Linked DNA regions of Drosophila melanogaster. The protein of the gene in region 2 purifies or fractionates together with the protein of the main gene of each other region. This does not show direct contact. Each region holds a gene or a part of one and is shown on either strand. Other genes may lie near its edges.

Region 1 (9,374 bases), on a different chromosome or scaffold from region 2:
CCGTATGGGGAGCACTTATTTTTCGCCATTCTCCGTTTTCAATGAAAAACTCACTTGCGCAGGTTTTCCGGCTTGCCCCATCCCTTTTCGAAGAACCTCGTTATCAGCATGCGGCGATATATGCTATCTAGTTTACTCGGCATCTTCGGAAAATGGCAAATGGGGCTTCTTGTTTTGCCAAAATAATAATAAACAATACGTACGGTAGGGATGGTAAAACGTTTATTGCACTATCGATAACTGCGTAGAAACTTCCATGGTGATAAGACTTCCAATTTTAAAAACTGACAAAAATTTCGGATTATTAATTTTTGCAATGTCTACTAATCTGAAAACTAGTATAAAAAAAATAATAAAATACGAAATCGGTTTTGGTTTCTATGTCAGGTTGGTATATCATATTTATCGACTTATCGATTTGAAACAATGGTATGTGAAACAATTCAAATCTGCTTATTTTTATTTTATTAAAAATAAATTGTAGTACTTATAATTTATCAATACACATAAAGGAATACGGAAAAACGATAAATACATTTACTTAATTTTATGGATTTTTTGTCCCATATTTACAAAATGAAAAGTGTAATATTAAATACGTTCATAATGAAGTCATTTTTACAAACTGATAAGTGAAATATTCAAAACTATTATAAGAAAATTCGAAAACCATTAATCCACACAACCAAAAAGAATGTAAACCACACTTATCAAGCTCATAAAAAGTACAATTCTTATTCTCAGTTTTTATTACATTGTATCTTATAAAATATGTTACTTATTTTCCTTTGGTAGTTTTATCAATACGATACGTATACACTACATTTATATTTGTATGTATATTATGTGTCGGGCAAACGTAATTCGTTAAAAAAATTACGCTTGCTCTTGTAAATACTTTATTAAAAGATTTTATAAATATACAAATAATTTATCATAGCACATTTGATGCATTGATGTTCCAACACGTGCATTCTGTACTCGTATAAGTATATACATATCTAACTTAATCCAATGTTGACTCGGCTATGTGATGTAAGTCTGAATAATTAATTATTGCGCGATGTAGGAACTCGTATTGTGCCTAGAAACCATATAAACATCTAATTAATGCATTGACAATAAAATATAAACAAATTCACTTACGTATGAGTTGATAAGTCCCGTTCGCTGAGATCGTAATTTCCTTGTTGTGGCACAGATGTCGACACACTTCTCCAGCCTCAGATGCTGGACCAAAATACACATGGCGACGAAAATGGAACTTCGATCGGTTCCCAGGCTGCAAATAATTTATAATTGATTAATCCGTCAAGTGCATGAATCAAAGCATCGCCGCATACCTGCAATGAACTGTGAGTGGAGATCGACAACCAGAATTCTTGTTGTTCTTATAATGGTTGTATGCTTGATCTACAAGTTCTATAATGCCACGGCAGACTTCAGGAACTTCTCCGTCCACGGTGGGCCAACCATTGTATTGAAATTGTGTGACTTTCAGCGTATCGTCTATTTTGCAATTCGTAACATAAAATTCGCGGCGAGTATAGTATGGACAACTTTCGCTGTGCACGTATTTCACGAGTATGTGATCGTATTGAACCTCATCATCTGCCCAGTATCGCGGGCATTTCCTGGGACCATCTCCGATCTGCAATGCAATTAAAGCACTCAGTTGAATGGGAAACCAATAAAGTAGAGAGGGCACTACTCACTTCGGATATCATGACGAGGGTGGTAACACTCTGTTCCGAGATCATTCGCCAGAAGTCTCCTATAGTGTTTTCAAGTGGATCCTGGGCAATGATGAAGGTTTCGCTATTATCATAGCCCTCTATGAATGATGCGTTAATGTAAGTTGAGTTTTCCCGCATCGGAAGTGGTGTTAGTATAACCTTTAATTGCACAAAAACATTCACAAACATTAAACACAGTTCGCATAAAAGTTAGCCACTATTACTTACTCTGTTGCGATCGTAGGGTATAATCTCTTGACTTCTGTTCTTCATATTGTTCTCCTCGTTTTCGCCCACACTACATGATTTACTTATCTCATCTGCTGTGGCCAGTAGTTTCTGAAATAAATAGTAATAAGCAAAACGCCTGCAAGTAGATAACAAACTATACAAACCTCGAATTCCACTTCCAATTTGCATTTACCCTCGTTGGGTTTCCGCTTAAGAGATTCAATTGCAGAAGCCATTGTATCAATGCAAATATCCGTGTTTCCAAAGGTTCCAGTATCTAATAAAGCCCGGTAAAGAAAGATGTATTGTTTCTGCAAGCAAAAAGAAAGTTATTACAGCAACTACGAGTGGAATTTCCATATCTACGCACCAGAGATTGGACTAAAAAATTTCGTTGGTGTCGTAGATCACACACTGTGTTGTAAATGGACACCGAGTCTTCTTCCTCCAGCTGTTGGATTAGGGAATCTAAAGCCACCAGGGTTCCGGTTCTACCCACACCAGCACTGCAATGCACTAAAATTGGACCCCTTTGCAGGGAGTAGACGGAATTGATTTGACGTATGAATTTGATGATGCCATGTGGATGCTCTGGTGCCATGAAGTCCTTCCACGTTAGGTAGTGGTATTGGGTGATTTGTCTACGGTCCTCCTCCTCGCCGACATTGGCTTTGTTCTTGGAAACGTTCAGGGTACGTTCAATATAATCACCAGTCTTACGTTCTTGTGCAAATTTCACTAAAATATCTCCGAACTGTTTCGTATCAAATACTTTTTCTGGCCAATATTTCGCGCACTTGGCCTTGTTATATTCCTCCAAATTTGTAAGCATCACAATTATTTCTAGATGTTGTTCCCAAATCATTCGCCAAAAATCATCGATGGTACTTTCCATTGGACCCTGTGCACAGATAAACTTCTTTCTCTCCTTGTAGCCAATTACGAAGTTAGCATTGATGTAGTCCGTAGTTTGCAGGCCATTGATGACAGCCAACTTTACGCGCGTCTGATCGTAAGCCTTTATATCGGGATACCTGTTCTTGCAGGCGTTCTCCTTTAAATCACTGTTTTTAGTTGTCCGATCGCTAAAGCGATTTGGCAGCATCTCATATTCCCGCAGAAATCCGTAGTCAGTGTCCTTATGTCGGTTCTTGTAGGCGTTTTCTAAATCTAATCTGTGAATGGGGCCAGCGTCGAATCCTTTGTGATTTCCGGAAGTTATAAAATGACTGTGGTTGTGATTTCGTCGACCGAACAATGCCCTGCTTGATGTGAAGAAACAATTGAATATTAATTGAAATCACATCAAGAAGATCAAACAATTACTAGTTACCTCAAAGAATCTCTTAGTGTTAAAGTGTCTTCGCCCTGCAGTTCATTCTTGGTTTTCTTGTGATGGAAAACCCACAGCACAATAAATACAAGTATGACACCAAGTAATACGGCTCCAGCCTTGACCCCAATGCTTAGGTAGTAGTCCATATTGTTCAAGGATTGGATGGGTTCAGCTTCAGTCGCCGGAGTAATTATATCAAAGTATTTGCTATAAGCCATCAGGGCATTGTTTCGATCCCGAACTGAGGAAAATAAACATGATATTACCATTTTGCTTTCAAAAAATCAATCATTACGCACCTATTATCTCTAGGAATCCGGTGTAGTTGGAGTTAATATCTATCTCACCATCGAAGACATCTCGACTAGAATCGTGGAGTGGCACATTTGGGTTGACGGCGCTTAGAATTGGATTCTCATCGCTGGTCACCGCGTTTCTTTTATCCCTTAACTTACTTTCTAAGATTTTCAGAGCATGCTCTGTTAAGTTTGCTCCTTTGATCAAGTTGTCCTTCTCCGACAAAATGGGCAGTTCAGAATCGGAATCTAAAGAAAAGCACATTAGTTTCAAATAAAAAAAAATAAATAAAGTTTATATTAATTACTTGATAGTGAACCTTGTGGGGGTATGTGAATGATCTCGGGTTTCCTCAGAAATGGAGTACCCTCCAAGCATTTCCGACAAATTTCGTCGTTGTCGCGGATTATATCGTTGTTCTCACTAAATCTCTTTTCATCGCCCAAGAATATTTCCGGCCTAAAGTACTTGCTACTTATCATTTCCGCTATATATGCACTACTTCTAGTCACGTTATCGCTGTGAACCTCCTGATATGTGGCGATGTTTAGCTTCTCCGGGTCCGGCAATTCCTTGTTGTCATTGTTAATTCTAACTAGATACAATCTATAGCAGCATATGGGCCCATTGCGTTCGCTGATCTTCGGTAGATACAACTTGAGAACGTACTTGGAGTCCAGGTTCACCTTTGACCACATGGTACGGCCAATGGCATCCGGCGTGGAGACGGGCATTAGACAACTTCCGGTGGCCGGTTCGCCGTTCTTCTTGTGCCGCGTTATGGCAGACACCGTCACCGTGTAGTTTGTGTTCGGGCTAACACTTTCGTAGAGGGTCTTGTGATGGGGTTCATCGATTCTTCGAATCTTTGGTCCCCACATCTCTCTATCCACTGTGCTCATGGGATTGCCCAGCAAGTGAATTAAATATGACACAACCTTGCCGTTTGGCGTCTTGGGAACGTCCCAGTTAATGGCGATGGAGTTGCCTCTCGTGACGTTGTCATGATGACACTGTATGCTCAAGTTGGTGGGTTTTGTTGCCACGCCGTCCATCGTTGTGCCGTTCACGTTTTCGGACCATGGTCCACAAGTCTTGGTTAGATCACTACATGCCCTTACCCTAAATTCGTAGTCTGTGGCGGTCTTAAGCTTATCAAACATGTATGGCAAGTTTCGAGAATTCTGCTGGTAAATGGCCTCTTCGATCACTTTGGGCACCTCGCCCGATTCGGAGACAATCAGTTCGTAGTATTGTATATAATCAATGAGATCTGGCGGCGGTGGATTCCAGCCAATCGTTATCGTGGACGCCGTGCTGCCGGTGGTCTCGACTTTTGGTATAAATATGGGATCATAACTAAGCGTGGTGATTCCCTGGGGATACTGGGTGGGTTGGCCATTGCCAATCGAGTTCTTTCCCACGATTCTTAAAAAATAGGTTGTGTTCGGCTTGAAATGGTCCAGAATATACGATGTATGGCTGCCGTTAATAAAGTCCTTATGATAAGTAAAAGTCGGTGTTCCAGCCTCCTGCAGAGTGATGAAGAACTTCTGAATTGGATCGTTGCCGTCGTTAACGGTCCAATTTAGGTATATTTTATTAGCACCAACTGCCTTGGCGAAATCAATGCTAACTTGTGGCACTTCCATTACGAAAAGGGTAATCTCTTTGGAGGTAATTTCGAGTCCGGTGTCATCGAAGACGGTGCACTTGTAGGTGCCATTCTCTTTCTTGTAAACTTCTGTGAATTCCAGGGTGAAGTTTAAGTGCGTATCGTTTAGCTTCGAAATGGACGAGAAGGTGTCCAGGAATTCAAACTGGCTGCCGTCCTTAAGCCACTTGAGGTTTCTATTAGTTGTCTCATTTTGTGGGTACATCTCGATCAAACAGTACAACATGACATCCTGCTTGATTTTTCTCTTAATCCTATCGGGGGTACTTTGCAGGACTTTGGATGGAAGGTATGGCCTAACTTGGAATTCAGTCGAATGGTTTTGCCCCGTTTGGGCTGTGCATGTGTAGTTCCCCGAGTCCTTTATATTGACATCGAGAAGCGCCAGGACATTCTTATACTTGATGAAGTCTTGACTATCGTTGTTTTCACTGCCATCGTCGTTGGATTTCAATGGCTCAGTTCTTATTTTATATCTGAAAAGATCGAAAAATGATCAGATTATTATGTTATTCCATCTTTATGGGGGCAGAAATATTTTTAGATGCTTGTGCAATAAGTTACTAACCTTGTATGGTTTTTATTAATAGTTTGGTTGCCCAGCTTCCATGCTACTGCTTCGTTTTCAGATGCGCACTCTAGAGATACGTTTTTACCTATTTCTGCCCACTCTGTAAATAAATTTCATTAAAATAATTATCAGTTTTGTATATAGACGTAATTATAGAAATTACACCGATCTAGTAGCAACATGCTTCTGTCAGCCTAAAAATATGTTAGACTTAAAATATATCTTCCTGATTAATGGTTGTGTATATTTAAATCTGATTATAGCTTCCGGGTTTTATGCGATTTAGTAAAATATTCAAATTAGAACTATATTGAAGGAAAATTTCTTATTTAACTTTCCTATTAAATTTTAAGTTTTATGATGGACACCAAGAAAGGTTTTTCTGGATGGGCGGTAAAAGCCAGACATAAAAATGAAACTACACCCACAATATTGGCCATAAAACTCGCGGTAGTAATCCGGCGTAATTTCGGAATCAACACGTATTTAGCTGAAGAAATATTACAAATATATATATATGTGATTATATTTCAGATAAATCAGATAGATGTACATAAGTATGTACGCAGAAACATAAAACGTATGTATGTACCGGGAAGTGTGTACATATGTATGCGCGACTACTTTTGTTTAGCCCCAATTGAAATCTCACCCCATCGCCGTAATCTTTGGGCGTTACCGACATAGTTCGAGTGCTACTGTATCTAAGAACTATACAACCGTCTTGTTAACCACCATATCAAATGATAATTCCAGTTTCCAACTTAATGTAAAACACTCCATTCACATTTGCAAAAACAACACAAAAAAAAAATGAGACATTGCAATTTGTTGACACCCACAAACGGTTCTTGATGTACGTATGTATGTACCAATTATGATGTTCGTCTGAGTTTTTGAAACATTACCTTGTTTCACAGATCCTTGCACACATATCGCACAAAGGAAAATATATGCAAGAATTATATTTAATAGCATCGACATGCGTCGGTAGAGTAACGCCATGGCTTGCTAATTTCTCACTCCGAGCCGGATAAATACATATGTCAAAAATTATATTCGATGTCTGCGTTGAGTTAAAAAGCTCTACTGCGTTGAACTAATGTCGCGGCGAGTGCAAAACACCGACAAATGTGTTTTATTAAAAACCAGTTAATAGACGGCGACCGCGAATAAGTATTAATCGTTATTTTCTTAACACTGGATTGTTTTTTTTTCGCGATATGCGGCGTTATCGATAAGTCAGTCGAATATGTACCCTTGGCTGCGGTTACCAAGGGATTTGGAACAACTGAATTGGAATATAATCGTATATTATAATAATATAATCGTAATCGTATTTATTAACATGAGTAATTAATAAGACACAAGTATTTATTTATAGAGCAGTATGACATTAATTGTTACTTAATTGTTGCAAATTTATAATTTATTTCTGGAATGCATTAATTCATTTATTACTTCATATTCACTTTTATTACGATTCCGTTTGGTAGCCGATATATTTTACAATACCAATGAGCGTTGCTATCTTAGCACACGATACAACAGTTCACCGCAACCACCAAATTCCAAGTAAACTAGCCGGCATTGTTTGTGCGCGTTTTTTTTTGCAGAAAACCACCAAAAACACATAAAAACATGAAATTAGTAAGGTATGTTATGCGTCATTTACCTAAACTAAAACTAAACTTGTTAGCAATGCGTGCAGTATAGTTTCATTCAGTTTTTGAGTTCTGCGATTCTGCACACATGTATGCATGCAAAAGCGATGCTCCCATTTGTTGTTTTTGTACACAAAATTTAATTTAATACGAATGTTGTTTTGATCTGTTATTATAATAGTTTTCCATTATTTACTTGTATCTGGTAACAATTCTTGCACTTTAAGTAGCATTTTGCATAACTATATTCAATGCAATCAACGCTCTTAATCCAAGGCCACCAAATACAAGCTACCTTTAAATTCGTACTAATTTGCTAAAAGTAAAGGCTCTACTAAGTATATTTCATCATAAAGGCTGCTTGCATACACCTTATTGTATCTCATTTTTCAATCACCCAATAAGATATTTGTTTCTACCTATAATAGCCTTGCATCTCTGAAATGCTGCATCTTTGCAACAGGGATTTCCTTAATTTCGTTTACTAATCTTCCCGTTGATGCATTACAGATTCCTTATGAAGCTAAGTCACGAGACCGTGACCATCGAACTGAAGAACGGCACCCAGATCCACGGCACCATTACCGGCGTGGATGTGGCCATGAACACTCACCTGAAGAGCGTTCGGATGACGATCAAGAACCGGGATCCCGTCCACCTGGAGACGCTGAGCATTCGCGGCAACAACATCAGATACTTTATACTGCCGGACAGCCTGCCGCTGGAGACGCTCCTCATCGACGACACCCCGAAGTCGAAGACAAAAAAGAAGGACAGCGGCCGCGTGGGAAATCGCGGCAGGGGCAGAGGCGCCCGCGGACGAGGTGGTCCACGGGGTCGCGGAAGGGGCCGAGCTTCAGGCCGACGTTAATCTTTGTAACAGCTACATCTAATAAACAATATTCGATAAATATAGAATATAAATATTCTTTGGATAAATCCACACTGTATGCATTTACTATGTACGAACAACTGACAAATGTCTTCAGCTAGTAAAGAAACTCCATCTGAATATGTATATTGTTAAAAATCACTCTGTGTAGTAGCTCAGGAAAAATGTGTTTACTTGGCAACAAATTGAAAGAAGACTCCCGCCATTAAATTATGATTAAAAATGTTTGAAAGTTTGTAAAAACGCTTTTTTATACTTTTAATTGTTTTTGGACGCACAAAATGTCTTTCAAATGTTCAACAATAGTAGGAGAAAACTGTGTTACTTAAGCTAGGCTATAGATTCAAATATATTTACTACTGCCATTAGGATGCGTGGTGAACAATGAAACAAACGACAATGTTAAACCCATGAAATGGGCATCGCCTTAAAACTGGTTAACTTAAGAGATTCTACTTTAAGTAACGGATTGGAAAACATATCAAAAGAAACAATAGATATAGGGATAATGGAGTAACCCTCACTTTAAAACCCATTATTAAGGACAAAAAAATATAAGTGATTTGTTTAAGTTTTCAAAGGCAGGTTGAACCGGTTCCGATAATATATCGAAATGTCAAATTGTGGAACTTGCTCCGATCAATTATCGCTATTCGGGTTCGGATACCCGCTAAAAGTAAGGCGCCAATTTTAAATCTTAAAATTTAAATTAGGAATGTCTTTTGATAACACAATTTTTTATTTTATATTTTTAACTCAAGTTCACAATTGCTCAAGCTTCACAGCTCTATTGCTTTCCTTTGAAGTCTGGTCAGAGCCGGGAATTTGTATATATTTGTTCGTTTATGGTTTAATTGAGAATGTGATTTTGGCTGCAGCTGTTGTTGCTTTGCTTTGCATACTAAGTTTGTTTGTTTAATAATCGTGCACCATATATATACATATATATATACACTTGACGGTTATTGGATC
Region 2 (6,427 bases):
AAAGTGGAAAGGCGGTGGGAAAAGCGGGGAAAACTCGGTGGCGAAGCGAAGCGGGGGGATAGCGGCGGGAAAACTGGATGCCGTCTCCCTTTTGCGGCTACACTGTAACGGCTTTTGTGTGCGGGTGAGTGCTGGCTTTGGCATTGTTTTCCTGCACGGATATCCTTAATGAGTGGAACTGGGCTACCGCTTCTCGAGCAGCAGCATCACAACAGCTGCCACCCACAACCGTCATAATTACCCCGCCCCCTTCGCTGGACCAGAACACCCTCCACCATTTCCCCCACCCAGCTGACAAACACACTCGAGCTCCTTGGCACTCAAGAAACTGAAAACGGGGAGCTGGCGCTGGAGAAGTCCTGGCGGGGGTCCTTCGTATCTCTGACCACATGAGCACATAAATCTTCGGGCACGGTGGCAGTGGCGCCCCCTGACGGACGGACCCAGCTTGACGCCCAAAACCACGCTGCCAAGGAATGCGAAAAGTGCCTTCAACTTTTTATGAAATATGGGTTGACAGACGGCTCATCTGTCATCTAATAAATGCATTTAAAATTAAACAAATGCGCGCATAAGTGCTGCAATCAGTTAGACATTATGATAGATTGGTAAATTTATAAATAATTATTTAATTTATACATGATTTGGTAAAGGAACTCATAATTTGTATTTATATTTGTATATGTTATGTCCTTTATAGTTGCTTTTGACCCACTGTGCACAAGCCCCATCATTATGGGCGTGTAATTATCACGATGATCACTTTTCAACATAACCAAAGCGAGGAAACTTTTATATTAAAAGTAAACTTATGACAAACGAGCAAAAGAAGGCCAGCTGGAGGAAAAGTGGAGTCCTGGACAGTGGAGTCCTGCCACACACGCGTCACATCTGCAAGAGTGTGAGTGGATGTGTGGGGGTGTAAGGATGTGTGGGTGTCCATTGTCAAGTGTAATTTATCATTCAGTCAACGTTCTTCGATTGCAGTTTATCTTCGGAACTTACTTTACTGGGTCGCCAGTGTAATTTCCCACTCCCCCCGCATCTTTCCATTCTGTCTGTTCTCCGGTTCTCCCTTTTCCCACGAGTAAAAGCAGAGGAAAGTGTACTAGGGGAGCAGCAAGGATATTCCCTCGGAGTTGTTATTGTCCTGGCCGTAGAATGAATGGCAAATCAGGAAAATCTGACCCCCAGGTTGTTAGTTTTCTTGCAAGGATTTTTAAAGCCAATGGGAGCAAAATAGCAATTAACATGGATTTTGAAGCATCCACCTCGACCTCAGCCATCCATCCCTCGCCCTCCCTCCCCCTGCTTTTCCATTGAGTTCCTCCTGGTAATAATCGGAAATAATTGAAGAAAGAGAAAAACAGCGGGGAACGGCAAAAAGAGAATACTTACCGGACTGAAAAGCCGGGTAGCGGGGAATGGGTCACATCCTTTGAAGGATGTTTGTGTGTGCAATTTGTAGCGTTTTAATTGTTGTTTATGCGATCTAGAATGGGGGCGAAAGGAATGATGTGGTGGGGACTCCTAGGGCGCGGGGACCCAAATGCATCACCACCGCAAGCCACTGAGCTAATTTTGATTGCGGTGCCTGCAAACGACAGGAATCAGCAGGTGAAAGACGATGTCGGCTCCCGAGATCCTAATTAACTATGCCACTGATGTTTGGTTCGATTCAGCAGATTGCCCTCAAATGCGGGTTAGCAGCAAGTTGAAGTGCCTAATGCCCCGGGGGAAAACAAAGAACTCGAAGTCATGTGAATAAAGTCAGGGGATTGATGAATATGTAGAAGGATATGAAAGCTATCAAATTAAAGTAATACTTGAAATGATTAATTATTTTGATATTAGCAAAACAATAGGTTTCAATCATGACATTGATATCTGTAATCAGCATCTATTAGGAGTGTCATTACTGTGCAACTGGAATATATCTTATCTGCATCGGCATTTAACGGCTATTTCGAAATATTCAAACTTACTCGCTGCTTTTCTGGTTCTCATTCAGTGAATATATTTTACCATTCTCTCACAATGTTGTAAGCATTCAGAGAGCGAAGGAATTCCGGTTGAAACTCCGAAAATGTTGTTTATTCGGCCAGTGCGCAGACTCACCACTTTTGCCGGCAGGATTCAGCAACAAATGTTTATGCTCGCAACTGTGATGATAAACAAACCTGACTGAGACCAGAAACTACAATGTTGAGAAGCCATTTCAATATTATTTATTTGTTTTTGGAAATTTTAAAAACCCTATTGATATAAGATAAACACCAAACTACCATTAGAAGGCTGCCATTTTGTTATAAAATTTACTAGTATGATTGTACTTTACGGAAACACATAGCATTACAAACATTACAGAAAGCCTCTTATATGATGATACCTCCTTATCATACGGAATTCGATTACTTTTCGTTTTCCCGAGCTTTCCCCGCTGAAACAGCTGATTTGCCTGCAGGAATTTACTCCGAAATGTTGCTCTTCCGACTTCCCCAGTTCCCCGAGTTCCGAACTGGCCGAGCTGCTCCGAAGGCCGGAACTCACCACCCAGCGAACATTGCTGTGGACTGTTCCCGGTCTCCGGATCTGAAGGAACCCCATATCGAGTTGGCCGTGGGACGCCGTTCAGTTGAGTTTTGGTTACTGCCGCCAACGGTTATCGAGCTGAAAGTGAGCGCGTGTCGAGCTTTTTTGGTGCCCAGTTGTTTGGGCCAGCTTCGTGGGCGACTGGATTGGCAGCAAACATAAACAAACGAAGTGCGAAATTGCTCGGAAATCAGCTAATTGACACAACGGACATGCGAGGGCCAGACTTTGGCCAAATTTGGCCTGGCCAAAAAGGAAGCGGAAGTACTGCGGCCGCAAAATACATTGTAAACTGCTAAACTGCAGGGGAAGTGTAGCGAATAGTGTGCGAATGGAAGTCGAGTAAAAATCAAGCAACTCGAATAGATATATATATCTTTATATCCCTGCGGGAGTCGCTCCCCTGTGTCTGTGTGCCGGTGTGTATTTGTGTGTGTGTGTGCCAGGAGTTGGGCTGGGCAAATAAGTGCTCGTGCTCAGCTTTTTTAGCCAGTTTATCTTAAGGCGAAATACTGTAAAAAATTGTAAAATGGATTTACGTTTCGTATTCATCGTTTTCCTGCTCAAGTGGACCCATGCACAAGGTAAGCTCGAATAAAAATACACAACTGGTGCAAAAACCTATCCTGGTCATGGACTTCCTTCCTTCCGTCCATCAATCCATCCTATCCTCTCCTGCGTTTGCCTGGCATTCTCTGTTTGTGCAGCTGCCACAAGCTCTGGGTTCTGGGCTCCGAGTGGGTGGATATGGATGTGGATGAAAGGCGGAGACGGGTGCAATTCAAGTGCAATTCAGCCGGCCTGCAATTGCAAATATGCCATAGAAAATTGCTCAACAGAGACAGAAGTGCCAGCTCGTGAATGCACGACATTTGTATAGCTCTGCGATCCCGTAATGAGTTGCATTTAACTCATCCGACTCACTTGGCCGAGATGTTTTGGGAGCCGGGCATATTTATGATGATTGCCGACAGGTGTTGAATGGCTCGTCCAAAGGCTTGCCAGAATGTTGGTTGTCAGGCTTGGATTCACCTGAATGCTGGTTTATTGATACGTAGACTTGACTGGGAATCTGCATTCCGGAGACAGACTTGTCCCAGAAAGATACATAAATACTCGGCATTAGTAAATGGATAAAGTCCGTGCTGATAGCTGAAGAAGCCACCAAAGCAATTTACTAAGACTTAAAACTTTGAATCAAAATGAGCTAAGAATAGACTGAAATATAATTCGGTTATTATTGATAAATCAAATGTTGAATAACTAAGCTTGGTAACATTTCACACATAATATTCCAAGTAGTAGAGTTATTGTGGCAACACAATTTCCATTAAATCTACACTCTGAATTAATTCCCTTGCTCATCCTGCCTAATCGCTACCAAACTTTAGTTGCCAGATTAGCATATTTCCTGATTTGCATTTATTGGCCTAAACTGGCAGATAACTTAAGGCATTTCCCGAATCGTTCCATCCGCTCAAACATGCTTATGCGTAATGCATTGATTACTTCCTCCCGAAAACTTTTGCCAACTATAATTTATAACTCTTGCTTATCTCACCAATAAGTTGTAGCCATCAAATGGGAATTCGTATGAGCAAAACTTTTGTGCCAGACGCAAAACAATTTCCGCTGCTTTCAGCCCAACAAATTAGTGGAAAATGTTCTGCCAAGAAACGAGAAACAAGCCGGGGATTCCCCTCGGGCTGGCTAACTAAGCGAAATGAGTATGAATTCGAGTCGTGGCTCTGAATACAAGTGAGTACTCAGGGGCATGGCTCAAGCGGCATGTTTTTGTTGCATAAAATATGCGCATTTAACAAGGGGCTTCCCACACTTTGCCCCAAAAAGCAAACATATAAATGTGGGCCCACAAAAAAGCATTTCTGCCCGGCCACAAATGATACAAAAGATTATTCATATTTTTCGGAGGTAGCACATATACGAGTATGTATGTATGTACATATGTACATATGTGTGTGTGCGGCCATGTTGCCGCTGTTCAATTTGCGTTTTTTACGCTTGGATCTCCTTTTTTGGTTAAGGGCATTTTTATTATGTAGTTCATGCATGTAAACGAATTCAATTGAATAATATCCTGTCATTTTGTTGTTACATCCTCTTCGGGCTTTCCATTATCCCCCCCCCCCCCCGAAATTCTTTTCCCGGCTGCTCCCCTCGTTTGGCATGTCAAAATTTTTATCAGCGCACAAAATCCGCCAATGCAGGATGAAGGATATGGTGGAGTAAATAAATAAATCCCGACAACACGCGTGTCCTTGTATCGCCGTCCTGCTCGCGCAGATCCTCTCGCCCGCTCCCACGCTACTCTCGAAAGTATGCAATAAATTTCGAACAAAAAATATATTGGCATTTTAGTGGGTTGGCTGCCTTCTGCTCGTGTGCGGTGTATCCAATAAAAGAAAATTAAATACTTTCAGCGAAAGATTCTTCTTTTGGGTAAATTAATCGTACCTCTGTATTCTGTCGGAGTTTCAGATTTTTTCGCGTACCCAAATATGGATTACAATTCACTAAGTGCCTTTAATTCGAGCTTTATTTATAAATATAAATACAATATTTTCCCATATCTGTTACAGCTTTTGGCCCAATTCGAATGCCAGTTTCGCAAAACGGCTCCCAGTCGTGTGCCATAATTTTCGTTTCCCAACTTTGCCCAAGTTTGCTTAATTTATAAATTATGCATTATGTAGACTGCGTTACCAGGCAATTATCATTTTCCCGGGAAATTGCTGGGTCGCTTGTTTTGCTCCTGGTCTCTCGCCCAAGAAAGTAGGCTACGCAAAATTAATTTCTGCTGTATGTTTTTGCCTGTGTGCTTGGCTCGGCTCGGCTCGGCTCTTCATGTGCGTGTGCTTATTTATTTGGCTGGGATTCGAGAAAGGACTCGGATCGGTTGTCTTGTATTTGGCCCTCGTGCCTGGCGGCTACCGAAAGCAAAGGGCAAAAACACAGGGCCATCCGCACGGCGAAGTAGGAAAAAGTTTGGCAGACCGGAATATTAATGAGTATTTAACCTAAATTGTTGCTGCCTTTGATAAGTGCCACGGAATATTCCCCATGTAGCAACGAATCTATTCTTGCCCCTTAGCCAGCGGCATCAATGGCAGACGAGAGAATTGGCCGTCTCTCTGCGGAATGTGTGGGCTTCCCTCGTAACTGAGGCATTAAATTACTTTAAAAGAAGGGGAAAAAAAGGGTTAAATTATTTTAGATGCTAGAACGAACCCCATCGGCTGCCTTTAAGACTTTCCGCCCAAAAACTCGAAGGACCTGCTCGAATTTTGCTCTTTTCCGACTTCGGGGTCGGTGCCATGAGAATAGGTATTATTTGGCCAGACTCGAGTTAATTGAAAGGACGAAGGTATTTATTCCTTCAGGGAGAAGGACCCGGTCGGCAAGTAATAAAGTAATATGGAATTAATCTGGAGTCCATTAAATATAGAAATATTTGAGAAATTGAAAGCCAGTCGGGTAGAGATACAGTATTTACTTGGCAGTTTATCAAGCACAGTGGCAATTGACTAGGAAAAATTTCTACATATCTATGGAAAATTCAATAAGAGAGGTTCACAGTTTTATTGAGTATATCAATATGTTGAAATAACTAACATTAGTTGAAACTACAAGCGAATTAGATAAATGAAACAACAAAGCTGTGCAAAAATATTTGGCTTAGTATAAAACCCATTAGCTAGTCGAATATTTATTTTAGCCAACTCCTACTGCTGTTTTTACACACACAATTTCCATGCAAAGCAATTACCAGTTTCCAGTTGTATTCACAACGTCCTGGCAAATTGTAATTTATCTT

The links.
Region 1: the proteins of robo3 (region 2) and Ptp69D purify together in Drosophila melanogaster (affinity purification with western blotting, with the first as the bait; one study listed by BioGRID). This does not show direct contact.

What each region holds. Positions count from the first base shown.
Region 1 is NT_037436.4:12,732,630-12,742,003, reverse strand, and holds Ptp69D (protein tyrosine phosphatase 69D), read right to left. Parts: upstream 7,060-9,374; 5' UTR 6,852-7,059; coding exon 6,755-6,851; intron 5,947-6,754; coding exon 5,844-5,946; intron 5,752-5,843; coding exon 3,908-5,751; intron 3,849-3,907; coding exon 3,603-3,848; intron 3,545-3,602; coding exon 3,301-3,544; intron 3,233-3,300; coding exon 2,338-3,232; intron 2,279-2,337; coding exon 2,132-2,278; intron 2,076-2,131; coding exon 1,965-2,075; intron 1,896-1,964; coding exon 1,716-1,895; intron 1,652-1,715; coding exon 1,344-1,651; intron 1,283-1,343; coding exon 1,147-1,282; intron 1,085-1,146; coding exon 1,007-1,084; 3' UTR 436-1,006; downstream 1-435. Other genes in the region: CG32112 (uncharacterized protein), read right to left, coding at 55-143; small ribonucleoprotein particle protein SmD1, read left to right, coding at 7,488-7,501, 8,021-8,381. UniProt on the Drosophila melanogaster protein: Possible cell adhesion receptor.
Region 2 is NT_033779.5:1,253,770-1,260,196, forward strand, and holds the start of robo3 (roundabout 3), read left to right. Parts: upstream 1-2,647; 5' UTR 2,648-3,121; coding exon 3,122-3,176; intron 3,177-6,427.